Linked DNA regions of Caenorhabditis elegans. The protein of the gene in region 3 interacts with the protein of the main gene of each other region in a pairwise test. Each region holds a gene or a part of one and is shown on either strand. Other genes may lie near its edges.

Evidence for each region. Proteins that work in one complex are often made in the same cells at the same time.
Region 1: the proteins of arl-3 (region 3) and unc-119 interact in binary tests that used the Caenorhabditis elegans proteins (3 or more experiments, as listed by UniProt).
Region 2: the proteins of arl-3 (region 3) and pdl-1 interact in binary tests that used the Caenorhabditis elegans proteins (3 or more experiments, as listed by UniProt).

The regions. Positions count from the first base shown.
Region 1 is NC_003281.10:10,900,872-10,908,700, forward strand, and holds the start of unc-119 (Protein unc-119), read left to right. Parts: upstream 1-1,769; 5' UTR 1,770-1,776; coding exon 1,777-1,837; intron 1,838-5,584; coding exon 5,585-5,658; intron 5,659-6,726; coding exon 6,727-6,838; intron 6,839-6,908; coding exon 6,909-7,289; intron 7,290-7,776; coding exon 7,777-7,829. Other genes in the region: com-1 (DNA endonuclease activator Ctp1 C-terminal domain-containing protein), read left to right, coding at 734-913. UniProt on the Caenorhabditis elegans protein: Myristoyl-binding protein that acts as a cargo adapter: specifically binds the myristoyl moiety of a subset of N-terminally myristoylated proteins and is required for their localization. Plays a key role in ciliary membrane localization of proteins.
Region 2 is NC_003280.10:7,181,987-7,185,854, reverse strand, and holds pdl-1 (Phosphodiesterase delta-like protein), read right to left. Parts: upstream 2,055-3,868; 5' UTR 2,031-2,054; coding exon 1,865-2,030; intron 1,846-1,864; exon of another isoform or gene 1,777-1,845; intron 1,580-1,776; coding exon 1,454-1,579; intron 1,437-1,453; exon of another isoform or gene 1,363-1,436; intron 1,354-1,362; coding exon 1,248-1,353; intron 778-1,247; coding exon 696-777; 3' UTR 561-695; downstream 1-560. Other genes in the region: C27H5.6 (G_PROTEIN_RECEP_F1_2 domain-containing protein), read left to right, coding at 233-363, 423-488.
Region 3 is NC_003280.10:14,604,397-14,608,926, forward strand, and holds arl-3 (ADP-ribosylation factor-like protein 3), read left to right. Parts: upstream 1-2,075; 5' UTR 2,076-2,815; coding exon 2,816-3,243; intron 3,244-3,528; coding exon 3,529-3,655; 3' UTR 3,656-3,922; downstream 3,923-4,530. Other genes in the region: tps-2 (Alpha,alpha-trehalose-phosphate synthase [UDP-forming] 2), read left to right, coding at 3,923-3,979, 4,314-4,439; pugs-2 (ShKT domain-containing protein), read right to left, coding at 1-118, 198-359, 567-719, 765-972, 1,143-1,222. UniProt on the Caenorhabditis elegans protein: GTP-binding protein that may be involved in protein trafficking; may modulate vesicle budding and uncoating within the Golgi apparatus.

The sequences.
Region 1 (7,829 bases), on a different chromosome or scaffold from region 3:
GAATATTTCAATTTGGGTTTTCCAATTTTTATATTTTTATTTTCCAGTTAGCTCCAAAAAAAAAAAGATTTCTTGAAAAAAATTTCAATAAAAAAGTTTTAACGAAACTGAGGTTTCACGTGGTGTCAGAGTGTCTCATATCGGTTTGATCTACGTTGATCTACAAAAAATGCAGGAGTTGAGACGCAGACTTCTCAACTTATTTCGCATGATTAAGAACGTGCTGACGTCACATTTTTTGGCCGAAAAATTCCCGCATCTTGTAGATCAAACCGTGATGGGATAGGCTGACACTACGTGAGGTTTTTAAAATTCAATTTTGCAATTGTCATATTTTCCAGCTTGTTCAAAAAATATTCAAAAAGTGAAAAAGTGATGCGAGGTTTTTTTTTTGGTTTTTAATAAACCCAGTTTATTAAAAAAATCTTATTTTTCTATTTTCGGGTTTTCAATTTTCCTTTTTTCATACTTTTCGAAATCTTAATTTTCTTTCTATTCGGGTTTTTTTTTAGAAAAAAAACATATTTTTCGGTTTTTTCAACTTTTAGATTTTCTGGAAAAAAATTCGACAAAAAGTTTGAATAGAAATTAGAGACAATTCTCCTCGTGGAGTACACACGAGCTGCGTAAATCGACAAAACACCGTCATTTCAAAAAGTGAAATTCTGAGCGCCACCAAAAATCCCCTTTTTTCTTTTTTGCAAAAACCCCGAAAATGTTAAAATTTTTCCAGATCAGTCGCCACCGCTACGTGCACCAACCACTTCCAGACACTCCAGAACGGTATTGGGATTTGACAATGGGACCACGAGATGAGGACAGCGGAAATCATGTACAAATGACACAGAGCCGACGATGGGAAGATATAGCAGAGAAAATGGAATGGCCGACTGGAATCAATACGTGGAATTAATTGAAACATATCACTTCTTATTTTATTTATTTTCATATGAATATGTGTATTTATTGATTTTTTAGCCAAAAAACCTCTGTGGCCTAGTTTTACAAATCCTAGGGCACATTCTCAAAATTAGCGAATATTTCAAAAAGAACGATTTCTCTGGAAAATCGCACAGTTGGTGTGCGCAATTTTCACAATTTCCTCGTGGCCGAGCTTTGAAATCTTAGGTCATGATTCATGATATTCTCCACTAGAACTCACAAACACATATTACTGGAACTGAGAATGCGTATTACACAACGTATTTGACGCGCAAAATATCTCGTAGCGAAAACTACAGTAATTCCTTTAATGACTACTGTAATGTCGATTTACGGGCTCAGCGATATTCAATTTTCTTTAGTTTTTTTTCAAATTGTTATTTTTCACCGATATATAAATTATTTCCGTAAATCAACACAACCGCTACAGTACACGTTTAAAGAAGTACTGTAGTTTTCGCTACGAGATATTTTGCGCGTTGATTGTAAAATCGAAACAAAAGAATAATAATAATTGCTCTGAAATTAGATTACTCCTGCTCAATTTCGTTGCTACATATTTTTATGGCTCTTTTTCTCTGGCTACTCCCCTCCTTCAGTCATAATTCCATGCTTTGTCGGCTCGACACGGCTCATTTTCACCAATTTTCTCGCTGAAATTTGAGTTTTTAGATTTTTATTCATGTTTTAGTTTTCAATTTTGAATTTGAATTCCAAAGCCACGCACATTTTTTTTGCAATTTTTTAGAGTTAAAATAGACATCTCGCAGAAAATTTGAATTACCCGCCAAAATTTGTTCACAAAAAATTTGAAATTCTGTTTTTTTTTTCAGAATGACCGGCGGAAATGAGCAGCGGGCCGGAACCGCCAAAGGACGACGTGGAGCACAAGACTGTGAGCACTTTTTCCATTTTTTTTTAACCCAAAGACCTTGAAATGACTTAAAAAATAACGAAAAAACAAAAATAATCACCTGGTATTTGCTAAAAATAGTTAAAAGTGTTCCTATTTTTGGAAAATCTGTCTGAAAAAATATGTTTTTTTTCTTCTTTTTTGAAACATTTTTAAACATTGGCAACGACACTCCAACATCCCGCAGCTGGCCGTTGCTGAAAAATTTCTAGGCCTCGAGTGACGTCACTACTGATCAGTCTCAGGCCACGTGAATTTCTAGGCCACCGATAGCGTCATTTCTTTTCCAATTGCGAGCACACCCAGGACAAATTTGAAATTCTCTTCCATTTGCGTTTACAAAGTTTTCTAGGCCATCGGTGACGTCATTACTCTTCCAATAACGGTTCTTCTGCTTTCTAGGCCACAAGTGACGTCATGGCATTGCCTATGCCATTTTCACTCTTCCATTAGAAGCTGTGGAGGTTTTTAGGCCATCTATGACGTCATATATATATATTTTTTTTTCCATTTTTCACAAATCCCAGTTACTTTTCACAAGCCGGATCGTCATTTACAAAACGAAATAAAAAAGAGGAAATCATGTTATTCATGTTTTTAGTTCCTCTTCATCACATGCACACTCGCTTCTCTTCCTCCCTCTATTTAGTATGTGCCACGTCTCTTTTAAGCCCCCGACAGCTACCCCTCCATTTTTTCCCTCTCGTTCCTCTTGACATTTTGCTTTTCGTTTCCGCTTTTTCTTTTTTGTCTCCTTTTTCTCGTGTCTTATGTTCTTGGAAGGAAGAAGAGAGAAGCTTTATAATCACCATGGTAACGGGGGTGCTCCGCGAGCTCCAAGAACAACGCAATTAGTGGAAATGAGAACAAGAGAAGGGGGCTTAGAAGCATCCTGAAATGTGTGTGGAAGAGGAATGACTTCATAAGTAATGCTGGCCTAGAAACCTTCAAAACCTCCCGTGAACGAGAGATGACGCCATGAATATCAGTGCTCGGAAACCTCACTTTCAGTGACCTAAGATTCTGCACGGCCACCATAATGACGTCACTAGAAGCCTATAAAATGCAAGTGGCCTAGAAACCGTCCAGGGTACGGCCAACAAAAAGTGGCTAAAAAGATTAATAGCATCATATTTAATAGATGCTATTTATATGATGACTGGCAACAAAAGAATGCCAATTTTCTCTCCAAAAGTAGCTCCAAAGTTCGGTGGCCTAGAAATCCATCTACGGCCGCCTACATGACGTCACTCATAGCCTAGAAACCACGGGCGACCAACAATTTTCGAAAAAATTGTGAGAAAAAAGTCGAAAATTCTCCGGAAATGTTTGCGAGAAGAAGTTCGGTGTTCAAAGACAATATTTGACCAGGTTCCTTTTTCTGCAATAAACAAACATTTTCCCTTTCCCTCTTGGGGAAAACGGGCGGCTCCAATCGGAAACGCGAACAATTTTTATTATGCTTGTCTATTCCTAGACGATTATTGGTTCCCACAAATGAATTTGAAATTATTGTGAAACTCTAGTTATTTTGCAATTGTTTTGTGCCAAGCTTCAGTAAAAGAAGTAGAATTTTATAGTTTTTTTTCTGTTTGAAAAATTCTCCCCATCAATGTTCTTTCAAATAAATACATCACTAATGCAAAGTATTCTATAACCTCATATCTAAATTCTTCAAAATCTTAACATATCTTATCATTGCTTTAAGTCAAACGTAACATTAAAAAAAATGTTTTGGAAAATGTGTCAAGTCTCTCAAAATTCAGTTTTTTAAACCACTCCTATAGTCCTATAGTCCTATAGTTACCCATGAAATCCTTATATATTACTGTAAAATGTTTCAAAAACCATTGGCAAATTGCCAGAACTGAAAATTTCCGGCAAATTGGGGAACCGGCAAATTGCCAATTTGCTGAATTTGCCGGAAAAACGGTAATTGCCGAAAGTTTTTGACACGAAAATGGCAAATTGTGGTTTTAAAATTTTTTTTTTTGGAAATTTCAGAATTTCAATTTTAATCGGCAAAACTGTAGGCATCCTAAGAATGTTCCTACATCTATTTTGAAAAGTAAGCGAATTCTATGAAAATGTCTAAAGAAAATGGGGAAACAATTTCAAAAAGGCACAGTTTCAAGTGTTTCCGAATTATACTAAATCCCTCTAAAAACTTCCGGCAAATTGATATCCGTAAAAGAGCAAATCCGCATTTTTGCCGAAAATTAAAATTTCCGACAAATCGGCAAACCGGCAATTTGGCGAAATTTGCCGGAAGGCAATTGCCGCCCACCCCTGTTCCAGAGGTTCAAACTGGTAGCAAAGCTCAAAATTTCTCAAATTCTCCAATTTTTTTTTGAATTTTGGCAGTGTACCAAAATGACATTCAGTCATATTGGTTTATTATAGATTTATTTAGATAAAATCCTAAATGATTCTACCTTTAAAGATGCCCACTTTAAAAGTAATGACTCAAACTTCAAATTGCTCTAAGATTCTATTGAATTACCATCTTTTCCTCTCATTTTCTCTCACTGTCTATTTCATCACAAATTCATCCCTCTCTCCCTCTCTTTCTCTCTCCCTCTCTCTCTTTCTCTTTGCTCATCATCTGTCATTTTGTCCGTTCCTCTCTCTGCGCCCTCAGCGTTCCCCACACTCTCTCGCTTCTCTTTTCCTAGACGTCTTCTTTTTTCATCTTCTTCAGCCCTTTTTCGCCATTTTCCATCTCTGTCAATCATTACGGACGACCCCCATTAATTTTTGGATGTGCTCTGCGAGCAAGAGCACACGGAACTCATTTATTTTTTGTTGGAATTTCTTTTTCATTTTAGTTAGTTAAAAGGTTATTCAGTGCAAAAATTGATTTTTTGCTCTTTTGGTACATTAGAGGGGTTTGAAAGTTTTCCATAAAAAGGGTTTCCGGAGTAAAAAATCTAAAAATTTTTACAAACATTTCCAAAAATTTTGGGAACATATCTTTTCAAAAACTCAAAAAAAAACGCAAACATCATAAATTTAATCAATTAATTGGATGCGTTCAAATATTTTAAAAATATTTTTGAATTGCATATTTCTTTACTCATAAAAAAATTATTAATGTTTAAGTAAAAAAAATATTTCAGGATTTTAAACAAAAACTGTAAATCCCATAAAACAGTGTTATTTTTTAGTTATTTTTAGTAATTATTTGTGAATTAAAAACACATTTTTTTTCAAAATATTCCTTGAATAAATAAAATTGAAAGTGAATTCAAAATATTTCACCAATTTTACAAAATTTGAAAATTTGAAAAAATATTTTCTACCAAATTGTGCTCAAAAAATATTATTAAGTTCCCAGGAAATTTATGATGAAAACTTGGAATATTTTTGGTAAAATTTTCTCAAAAAATTGAAAGTTGTCAAAAACACACTAACACTATACCTCGCGGCATAGAAAAAACTGGTGGCCGAATTTTTTAAACCAATTTAAATTAAATATATTTTTGCACTTTGTACAAAAAAATTTGAAGTTCCCAGGAAATTCATACGGAAATATTTTCCAGAACTTTTATAATTTTTATTTTAATTCTCAAAATTTACAATAAAAACTTGGAAACCTGAAATTTGCTTAAAGAATAACCCTATCCCCCACGGCCTAGAAAATACTGGTGGCCGAATTTTTTCCGCAGCCACACCACCTCTAATCTCCAGAGCACTCTCCAAAATTCCCATAATCCCCAAAATTTTCAGCTACAACAGCATATATGAAGGCAGAGCAACAACAACAATCGATCGCACCCGGCTCGGCAACCTTCCCGTCTCAGGTGAGGAAGACGCAGAGAAATGAGAGAGAGAGCGTGTTTATGCACGCAGTATACTAACTCCTGATATCCAATTTCATATATCGATATGCTTGCTTTCTTTTCTTCTACGTTGAAATTGTTTGAACTTTTCTCAAAAAACGCGGATTTTAGAGAGACTTAGAGTTGCTCCAAATAAATTTAATTTGCAATTTTGCACTTACTATTAGAATCTACTTTTATAGCGCTAAAATGACCGAATAACACAGTAGATTTTAAAAGAAAATTTTAAAAATTATTTTTTTGTGCAGTCAAATTTCGCTAGTTTTTGCCACTCATTTTTGAACATTTGTATATGTGCCTTTCGGTGGTTCAATCAGGGGTGGCACGTGGTGTCAGAGTGTTCCATTTCGGTTTGATCTACGTTGATCTACAAAAAATGCGGGAGAAGAGACGCAGAGTTCTCAACTGATTTCACATGGTTATGAACCAGGGGTGTTCGGCAAATTTGCCGTTTGCCGAGCTGGGCAAATTTTGAGATTTGCCGCACACCCCTTTTATGAACGTGCTGACGTCACATCTTTTTGGACAAAGAATTCCCGCATTTTTTGTATATCAAACCGTGATGGGACAGCCTGGCACCACGTGGGGTTGGCGGCAAATGATTTTTTCCGACAAATCGGCAAATTGGCAAATTGCCGGAATTTAAAGTTTCTGGCAAATTGTTGATTTGCCGAAAAAAAATTTCAAAAAGGCACAGTTTTAAGTGTTTCCGTCTTATAAAATATTTCTCTAAAAATTTCCGGAAAACGGAAAATTGCCGGAAATACAAAGTTTCGTCAAATCGGCAAACCTGCAATTTGCCGAACGGCAACTGCCGCCAACACCTGGTTCCCAAAAAAGCGTGCACTGTTTGAATATTAAAAAAAAAATTCACACAAAAATAATAAATTGAAATAGGCTAAATTCACATCTATGTACAAAAATTGCATGCCAGCACCGGTCAATTTTCTCAATTACTTTTTGTCTATTTTTGCCGAACATAATTTGCTGTTTCCTTGGCAGAATACAGAAAACTCTTTTTTTTTTCAGATGCCCCGACCCCCACCGGTAACCGAACAGGCTATAACCACCGAGGCGGAGCTTCTCGCGAAAAATCAAATTACACCAAATGATGTGCTAGCTCTTCCAGGAATCACTCAAGGTAAGTGAATATTTGCTCTATTGATAAACGCGCCGTGTACTCCACGTGGACAAACATATCAAATTTTCAGGATTCCTATGCTCCCCATCGGCAAACGTCTATAACATTGAGTTCACCAAATTCCAAATCCGTGACCTCGACACGGAACACGTGCTCTTCGAAATTGCAAAACCGGAAAATGAGACGGAAGAGAATCTGCAGGCGCAAGCCGAATCGGCAAGATATGTCCGATATCGATTTGCGCCGAATTTTCTGAAATTAAAGACGGTCGGCGCGACGGTCGAGTTCAAGGTCGGCGATGTGCCGATCACACATTTTCGAATGATTGAACGGCACTTTTTCAAGGATCGTTTATTGAAATGCTTTGATTTTGAATTTGGATTCTGTATGCCAAATTCGAGAAACAACTGTGAACATATCTATGAATTTCCACAACTTTCACAACAACTCAGTGAGTTTGAAGCGGGAAAAATTATTTGAGCTCATTTTGTCAATAGAGCGAATTTTCTAGGTTTTTAAAAATAAAATAAATATTGACAAAAAGCTGCCCTACAGTAGTTCAAAATGTGAAAACTTGGAGGAAATTCGAGTTTTCTCTGAGAAGTTTTTGGCGGGTAATTCAAATTTTCTGAGAAAAAAATTAGCCGCGAGAATTCAAATTTTCTGAGAAAATTATTTGACGGGAAATTCAAAATTTCTGGAAATGTATTGAACATTTGAGAAATTTTGTTAAAAACTACATTAAACCGATAAAAAAGTTCGCAAATTTTTTTTAAGTGCTCATGGTGCATCGAAGAGAAGAATTCTTGCCAAAACTAGCCCATGAAATTAAAAATTATCGCGGAAAAAAACTGACTAATTGGAAAGTAAAATGAAATTTGCAAAAAAAAAATATGTTTTTTTGTTGTAAAATTAAAAAAAAAACTGTATATTTTCAGTGGACGACATGATCAATAATCCAAACGAGACCCGCTCCGATAGCTTCTATTTT
Region 2 (3,868 bases), 7.4 Mb from region 3:
TCAAGACTGTTCTAGTTCAACCAATTTAACTAGTTCAACTCTTGTCAAAGCCTTGACCAAAATGAACTGTCAAACACTAAAATTGAAGTCTGAAATAACATTTCAATATCACTTTGAATAATGAGATAATAACATATAAACTAGAAAGAAAAGCTAGTTAATTCTTAATTAACTTAAGAATTAATTAAGAATTAACTTTAAATTATTTTTTTCAAATAGTTAATGTTTCCAGGTGTTGCCTATCTTCTCTATGGTTTCCAATCTTGTTTCAACCTTCCCATCTTTTACTTTTTCCGTCTCGAATTCCGTCGCCGGTGCCACGAACTTCTCCGTTTCCGTCGTAACGGGACAAACACAATTGTGGTAAGATTGATGCATGTCCTTTCATTTTTCAATTATTTTCAGTTCTTCCTATTTTTCAGTCGAACGACATGAGTCGCCAGAAGCTATCACGTGTCAATGCTTCATTTGTGAACACTGCAATCTAAATGTATTTTTGGGACAATTTTCCTGAGCTATTCAATTTGTAAAATATATTCATATGTACATAGATGAATAAATAAATCCGTTGAAGATTTTCATTCTGAAATTGAATATTAAAATTAGGTATGTATTGTTTTAGGAATTAAAAAAGAGAGATCCATGGAGAAACAGGGAAGGATTAGAAGGGAAAAATGGATATGAATGTATATGTATTAGTCGTAATAAAGACGGACTCGAGACGTGCTTACAAGAAGATCTCCATCATAGAATAAAGTCTCGACGACGACGTTTCCGCTGAAAAATTGAGATTGTATTTTCAATCGTTCGAAATGTCAAGGCCTCGAACACAATTTAATGTTATTTTTATAGTAGGATTAAGTAGTTATATATAAGATGGTGTGCAGCATCTCCTGTGGTACGAAAATTACATACCATAAAGAATACTAAAACGTTTCAAAACTCAAAAAAAAAACTATCGGTAATTACTCAGTTTTCACCAGTACAAATATTGAAAGTCTGTTTTAATTTTTATAAAAAACACTGTATTGGTAAAATCCTACAGCAATGTTTGAAATTACTCAAAAACCCAATTTTTGAATTTTTGCCAATTTACCAAAACGCTGACTGATATAAAAAATGTTTGATTACGATACTCGGTCATGTTTACCTAATAACTATTAAGGTTTGCATGTTTCTGTTTCTAGTATCTTGAAGTGAAGCTTTGAAGCTTAGAAATCTAGTACTTTTGCACTTGTTTTACTTACCTGAGTACAGATGGTGGGAACATTTGTGATTCTGGAGCTGCCTCAATCATATTTTGCCACGTGTTTGTTGAATCAGGAATGACAAATCCAAAATCGAAATACCACTCTGAAGTCGGAATACATAATTAGTTTTCATCACCAGAAGCCAATATTATTCATCCATTGCGTGCAATAACATAATGAATATTCGAGTGATTCTATCTTACCTTCAATGATGGTTCCCTTCAAATAAACGCGTTGCTCGAGTCGAAATTTTTCGATTTTGACTGATGAAGTGAAGTTGATCTCACGAGACACCGTACGACATTTTAGAAGATTCTTTGGCACGTGTGCTGCAATCCATTAGTTTTTATTTGTTGGCTTCAAGCAATTCTATTTTTGTAGGAAAAACGCATTGCATTAGAGACCAGCGGTAAAAGACATGTGAAGGCTTAACTACACGCTCAGTGTTGCTTGCTAGCTGTGGCAGAATGGCGCAGTGGATGTGCGCGCGCATTGGGGGGAGACGCTCTCGCGTTCGTTCCCTCGTGTTGTCAGTGACGATATTACTTACCGCCCCAGGCATAGTGTTTGTGATGATTGGTTTATTCCGAGACTTTTTTTGAAATTCTTATTACCTTTGTGTTCCCTTTTTGGGTCAGCCATGTCTTCTGTGCTCTGCCAGAGAACTTTTCCAGTTTCTGCATCACGCAAGTTCATCCAGTTGAGCTTGAAGCCAGCCAGAATGCTCTCTGCCTTTTCGCTCAATTTAGAATCTTGATGACGAGTAGCGGTAGTGGCCATGACTGGAGCTCTACTCTCTGAAGAAAGTGATGTTTTGAGGAAATGACGACAGACCGAGGCACAAGAAAGAGGAACCGGTCATCTTAGGAACAAGGAAAAGTCAATATTGACGAAAAGTGACGATTGCCGGAAAAAGAGCATAAAAAATGAGTGTTCCCGAAGAGTGGTCATTATGAAAAAAAGAACACGTGGAGATCATTGAATTCATAAAGGAAGTCGTGTTATAAGTGGCACTTACATTTTATGAAAAAGGGAAGAGAATAAGAGAAGTAACTCGTATTCATACAATTATATATTACTGCTTATATATTTCTTTTCGTAATTCGACGGTTCTGTGGTTTGAGCAGGATGGGATTAGGTGATAATTTAGAGAAATATCATATTATTTCAATAATTCCCTAGATAAAGCTATGACTAGTAAGTCGGGCACTTATAACGCAGAAATTGCAATAGAAAATTTTCTTCAGAAAATCTACATAAATAGTCGATTGTAGTGTTTAAACAGAAAATGTATTTTTAAAAAAATATTATTTGAACTTATTTGTAATTCTGAAAATTTTGTATCGTTTAGATAACCTACAAATTGAAAGTAGGAATTGAAACAAACAGAACAAAAAAATATGTGCAAATTTTTGCATGTAATTAAAATTTCCAAACAATTTTGGTGTGTATGAAAGAAAGCAAATAAATAAATTTAAAAAGTCGACCAAAACATATTCAATTTCAAGAGGCAAGACGAGGTGAGATGATGTGATAGAAAAGGCGTGAAAAAGTTTTTACGAAATTTTAGAGGAAGCGCAGTCTCTGGCACAATGTTTTCACGGCCTTCTCGTTGCTCCCAGCTCAACCCCGACTGCGGTGGACGGAGAAAGCTCCAAATTAACCGAAAAGAGCGCGTCGTTGGGATGAGAGAAATAGAGAAATATGCGAAAGAAGTGAAGATGGCAGAAAGGAGAAAAAGAGACACAGGGAAAGGCTCTATTGAGTTGAAGAAGAAGAAGAAGAAGAAGAAGAAGGAAAATTGTGAAAAAAAAAGGAAAAAGAAGACGAAAATGACGGAAATGGAGAGAAAAAGGAAGAAGGATTTTAAGACGATCGGAGGGAAATGAGAAAAGTCTGAATGTTAAAACGGTGAGCTAGATGAGGGAACGAATGTAGGCGGAGTCATGGAGTCACTTGAATTGTTAAGTATATTCACGAGGTGGCTGATGAACAGGGTTTAAGACTTTGAGAACATTTTTGTTTGGAAAATGTGGGCATTTTATTGCAAAATCACAACAGCAGGAAAAAAGAAAATTATTTTTGATGTAAGGTGTGCCTTTTATAACCCTTGAAGTTATATACTGTTATTTACATGAACTTCCAAGTGATTCACACACACAACAAATGCAGTTACAAGTGCAGTGCATATTCAGTTTACATCGAACATTTTCTAACATTTTCTAGGTTAAAAAAAAAGAATTTGAAGTTCGAGTTCGAGCAAATCGAAAGGTTCTATGTTTCTTCTATACATATTTAAGTCTAATTTTTTAACTCCTGAAGTTTCTGCCTCGGGTTTTTGAGTTTTACCGAAAATAAGACTGTGCAATACATCGTCTGTGAAGATGGGAAAAGCTTTCAATCAAAACTACAGAAAACATTTACAAAATACAAGCTCCAAGTGACAAAACAAGCATTCAAACATTGAAAGTTGTTTGCTTAACAAAATACTTTTCAATGTTATCTTTAGATTTTTCTACCTCTCTCTTCAAAAATAGTATACTTTCAAAATACAAAGGGCAACAATTGCATCGAAATCAAATTTTTGTAGCAAGTTAAAAATTCTATAAAAATACTGT
Region 3 (4,530 bases):
GGTTGTAGGACAGGCATTTCTTGCGGTATTGACGACACGCAAAGTGCTTTTTGTACTTGGCGGCGCAGATTTTTTGGAAGTTTAGACACTGCTCCAATGGGCTCACTTGAACATGGGTCTGGAATTTTCTCATTATTTTTATTTATAAACGGTAGTTATTATTTATTTAAATAAGGCTATAACACTCTATAACTCACTGAATTACTCGTCAATGTTGAATTATTGACTTCAATTTCTGGCAAGTTATATTTTCTACAGTGTCTTCTGAAAGTCTTGCAAGCATAATGTTTCTTGTACTTTTGACTACATTTTTTCTGCAGTTTCAAGCATTCGCCAGCGGTTTTTGGGTTTCGTGAGGTCTGAAAATTGTTCTTATAGGTAAACTATATTTAAAAATCTTAAAATGCAAAAATACTGAGAACGTTTGAGAACTTAAAAATTTTTATCATGGCTCAAAGTTGAACTTGCCTTTTTCAAAAATTTCAAGAGTTTTCTATAAAACTGGTCTATTAAGGCCAATTTTGAATCAATTTAAGTAATAACTTTACTCCAAAAAGCGAAATTACCTTTGATTTTCCCCTTTTCGAAATAGCCGCATCATATTCACAATTTTTCTCGAAAAAGTAGCAATGACCGTTGTACTTCTTTACGGCAAGGCAGTTTTTCTTCAAATCGTCACATTCAAATGAAACATCTTGCAGATCGGTTGTAGAGTTTCCCTAAAACAACGCAAAAATTACTTTTCTACTTTAATAAAAACTTACCACAGCGCCCAAAATGTTCACAATGGTCTCGTTTGATTTTAAGTGTCCACACCAAGATGGGCAGAGTCTTCCTTGAGATTCGTGGGTGGAATTTGAAGAATCGTCAAGGAGCAAAGCTTGAACTTTGTCTGGTTGGGAACAAGCCTCACATTGACATAGGTTAATATAGCAGGCCGAGTCAGAGAAGTAGAAGCAATAGTTGGCATCGCTGAAATATTTTTGTCAATAAATTTAGTCGAAACGTTAAAAGTACAATAATCTAAAACGGTATTTTCAGCCTCTCATTTAAAATTCCTGTTTATATTAATTCTTCGAATACATAACAGTAAGTAACAAAATGATGGTCCTCCAACACTTTCATTTAAAAAAAAAACTCACAGAATGTCGCAAATATCCGCCGTCTCCAAAACTCCAACAAAAGTCAGCGAAATAAACAAAACCACCAACCGTGATACCATCTTGTCAAAAAAGTTGAAAATAGAGATAGCGATATATTGTGTCTCCGCACCTGTCCTTGAAAAATAAAATTTCAAATTCGCAAACCTCCCCCTTATTCTGGCAAATGGATGAGAAGGGTGACCTACTTTTTCTACCGATATTGGAATTTTAGTAGCAGTTGAAAATGAGGAAAAGCGAACTGTAGGAGGAAAGTGAGAAAAAAAGAAGACGTATGGACATCAAGTGCACTTGAGATTTTAGGGCATTGGGAGGGAAACTGGATGAAATGGTTTGTTATTATTGACAAAATTATTTTATTAGATTCAGAAATGAATGGACATTTTCAAGTGATCATATGGTTTTGAAATTAGTTGGAACGAGTCTTACCAAAAACAAGATACGGTGCCAGAAATTATTCGCACTACTACGTTAATCATTTGTAAAACCTAATAATTTTGAAAAACTTGGTCAAGGTTGATTATCTAAAATGTCTATAGAAAATAGGTTATACGCAATGGAATGTGTACTTTTAAAAGTTTTATGTAGCCGGGAGCGAGAGTGGTCTCGATGACACGAAAAACAATTGCAGAGGGCGGGGGGCAATTTCGAATGCGTTGAGCTTTTTTCACATGATACTCATAACGCAAGGCTTACACTTGACCTATTGTTTAAATCGATGAAGACATATGCACACTAAAACGACTGCGGCAAAAAATTTGATATGAAACTTGATATTTGATTATTGAAATTTTTGAGTCTTTGTTTTTGCATTTTATGGTTTTTTTGTATGCAAAAATTATTGCAAGTTCAGCTGTTAGTAAATTTGTAGGCAATCAGGCAGGCACCAAGTTTTACTTTTTATTCAATTTTTTTGTCGACAAACTGGGCAAGTCTGCAAATTGTCGGTTTGCCGGTTTGCCGAAAATATTCGATTTGTCGGGGGTTTTTTATAAGACGAAACACTGTGCTTTTTTGAAGTTTTTTCCCCCATTTTCTTAAGATATTTTCATAGAATTCGTATATTTTTCAAAATTGATGTAGGAACATTCATAGGATGCGTGCAATTTTGTCAATTAAAATTGAAATTCTGAAATTTCCGAAAAAATACACAAAACCACAACTTTGAGCAACCTTTTTTTCAAATTCCTTTTTCCTCTCAAATTTTACATGCATCATAATATTCATCATTTGAGGAAATTTAAATATTCATACTTCATCAACATATTTCGAAATACTTTTAATCCCATTTCACCAACAATGGACTTGTACATTTTCTAATTTGCACTTCCCAAATCTATCCTAAAATCAGTTAATTGTAATGGAAACCTTCGAGAGCTCATCACGCGATTTTTCGCCACCGGCCACTTCATCTGACTCACAAACGTGCACACACAAAATGCGTGCTCAACATTTGAGCTCAGAAGCTAAGAGATGGGAGGAGCAGAGACGCACGAGCATGCACGTCTCTATGGTAACATACGGGAGCTAGAGAGTAAGCTTCTCTTCTCTCACTTGCAGACGTTGTCCTCATTCTCTCTCCTTCTCTCTCACACGTTTCCGGTTTTTCGTTCGAATTCTATTCTGGTATTCCTATCCCTTGACCTCTCACAAAAATGGGACTCATCGATGTTCTGAAATCATTCAAGTCACCCAGTGGCCGCGAAATCCGAATCCTTCTACTAGGACTCGACAACGCCGGTAAGACGACAATACTGAAGCAGCTGTCCTCTGAAGATGTTCAACACGTCACACCGACCAAGGGATTCAACGTGAAGACTGTCGCCGCTATGGGTGACATACGTCTAAACGTCTGGGACATCGGAGGTCAGCGATCGATTCGTCCGTATTGGTCCAACTACTACGAAAATATCGACACACTGATCTTCGTGATCGATAGTAATGACAAGAAGCGGTTCGACGAGATGAACATTGAGCTCGGCGAACTGCTTGACGAGGAGAAGCTTCGCAAGGTTCCGGTGCTCATATTTGCTAATAAACAGGATCTTGTCACAGCAGCGTCATCAGAGGAAATTACCAGAAAGTAAGTATTTTTCTTCAACAATAACAATTTATGGTTGTTAAAACGAATGACCTGGTTTGTCCTTTGCCTTCATACATAAAAAGCGAATGCCATTTCCCTCAAGGACTTTTTCTCTAATAAGCTAAACCTTCTTATATTAATAACACTGATAGAAATAGAAAATGTATTCATTCAGTTTTTTTTGAAAAGTTATCATCAGCTCACATCCAATTTCAAATTGCAATAAAAATGCATTGACAGCTTAATTCCTAAACTCCAAATTCTAATCTCCAAAATCACCTTCAGACTAAACCTGGACCTTCTCCGCGACCGCACTTGGCACATTCAAGCCTGCTCAGCGCTCAAAAACGAGGGCATCAACGACGGAATCACTTGGGTTGCTAGTAACCTGAAACCGGCTTCTAAAAAATAGATCATTGTATAATCCCACACAAAAAATCTTCCAGGGAGTATACAGTATTACCAGTGTTGCCCTAAGTTATCAATCGAGCGCAAGTGCTTCTCTCCCCACCATCTCTATCCATTTACAATATCTCTGTGGCAGTCTCTCATGCTTAGTATCTCCTTTTCCATGTTTTTTTCGTATATCAGTTAATAAATATCATACCACGTGGATTTATTAATAATTTTTTTAAATAGTGAATGTAATTGGCATTTATTTAAAAAAATTAAATTTCAGACACTCATCAGCTCACATCCAATTTCAGTGGAAACCTATAAGAAGGAAGTTGAAAATGTAAGGGTAGTACATAACTAAAGTGCCAATTAATTTCAATTTTGGATATTTCTAGGAAAACAAACCCCATCGAGTTTGGAAATTTTTTCTGAATTGTTTTTTAAAGAAAAAATAATTTTTTTTGAATTTTGTAAATGAAATTTTGGAAAATTATTAAAAGTACCTTAATCAACTATGGCTAACTGAACATTTTACTTGAACAATTTGAATCACCAAAATAACTGTTAGGAATAATTTTAAGTGCATCCAGAATTGTCCAGAGAATCAAAAATTCAGAGTTTTCTATCAAATCCAATTTATACCTCCACCACCCCAAACCAATTTTAACATTTAGGCCGTTGAGCTGCTCTACTCTGCTGATCATTTCCACTATTTCTTCACCGATCGAGACGGAACTTTGAAAAGTTATTCGTGCAGTTATCCGTCAAGTATTCAGCCAGCATATTCTGGAGTCATTCAGGTATGCAAATATGGAAAATTGGAGAATTTGTAGATATTATTTAAGTTTTAGAAAAAGGGTTCAAAAAAGTTTGCTCTGTTGCTCTCTGCTC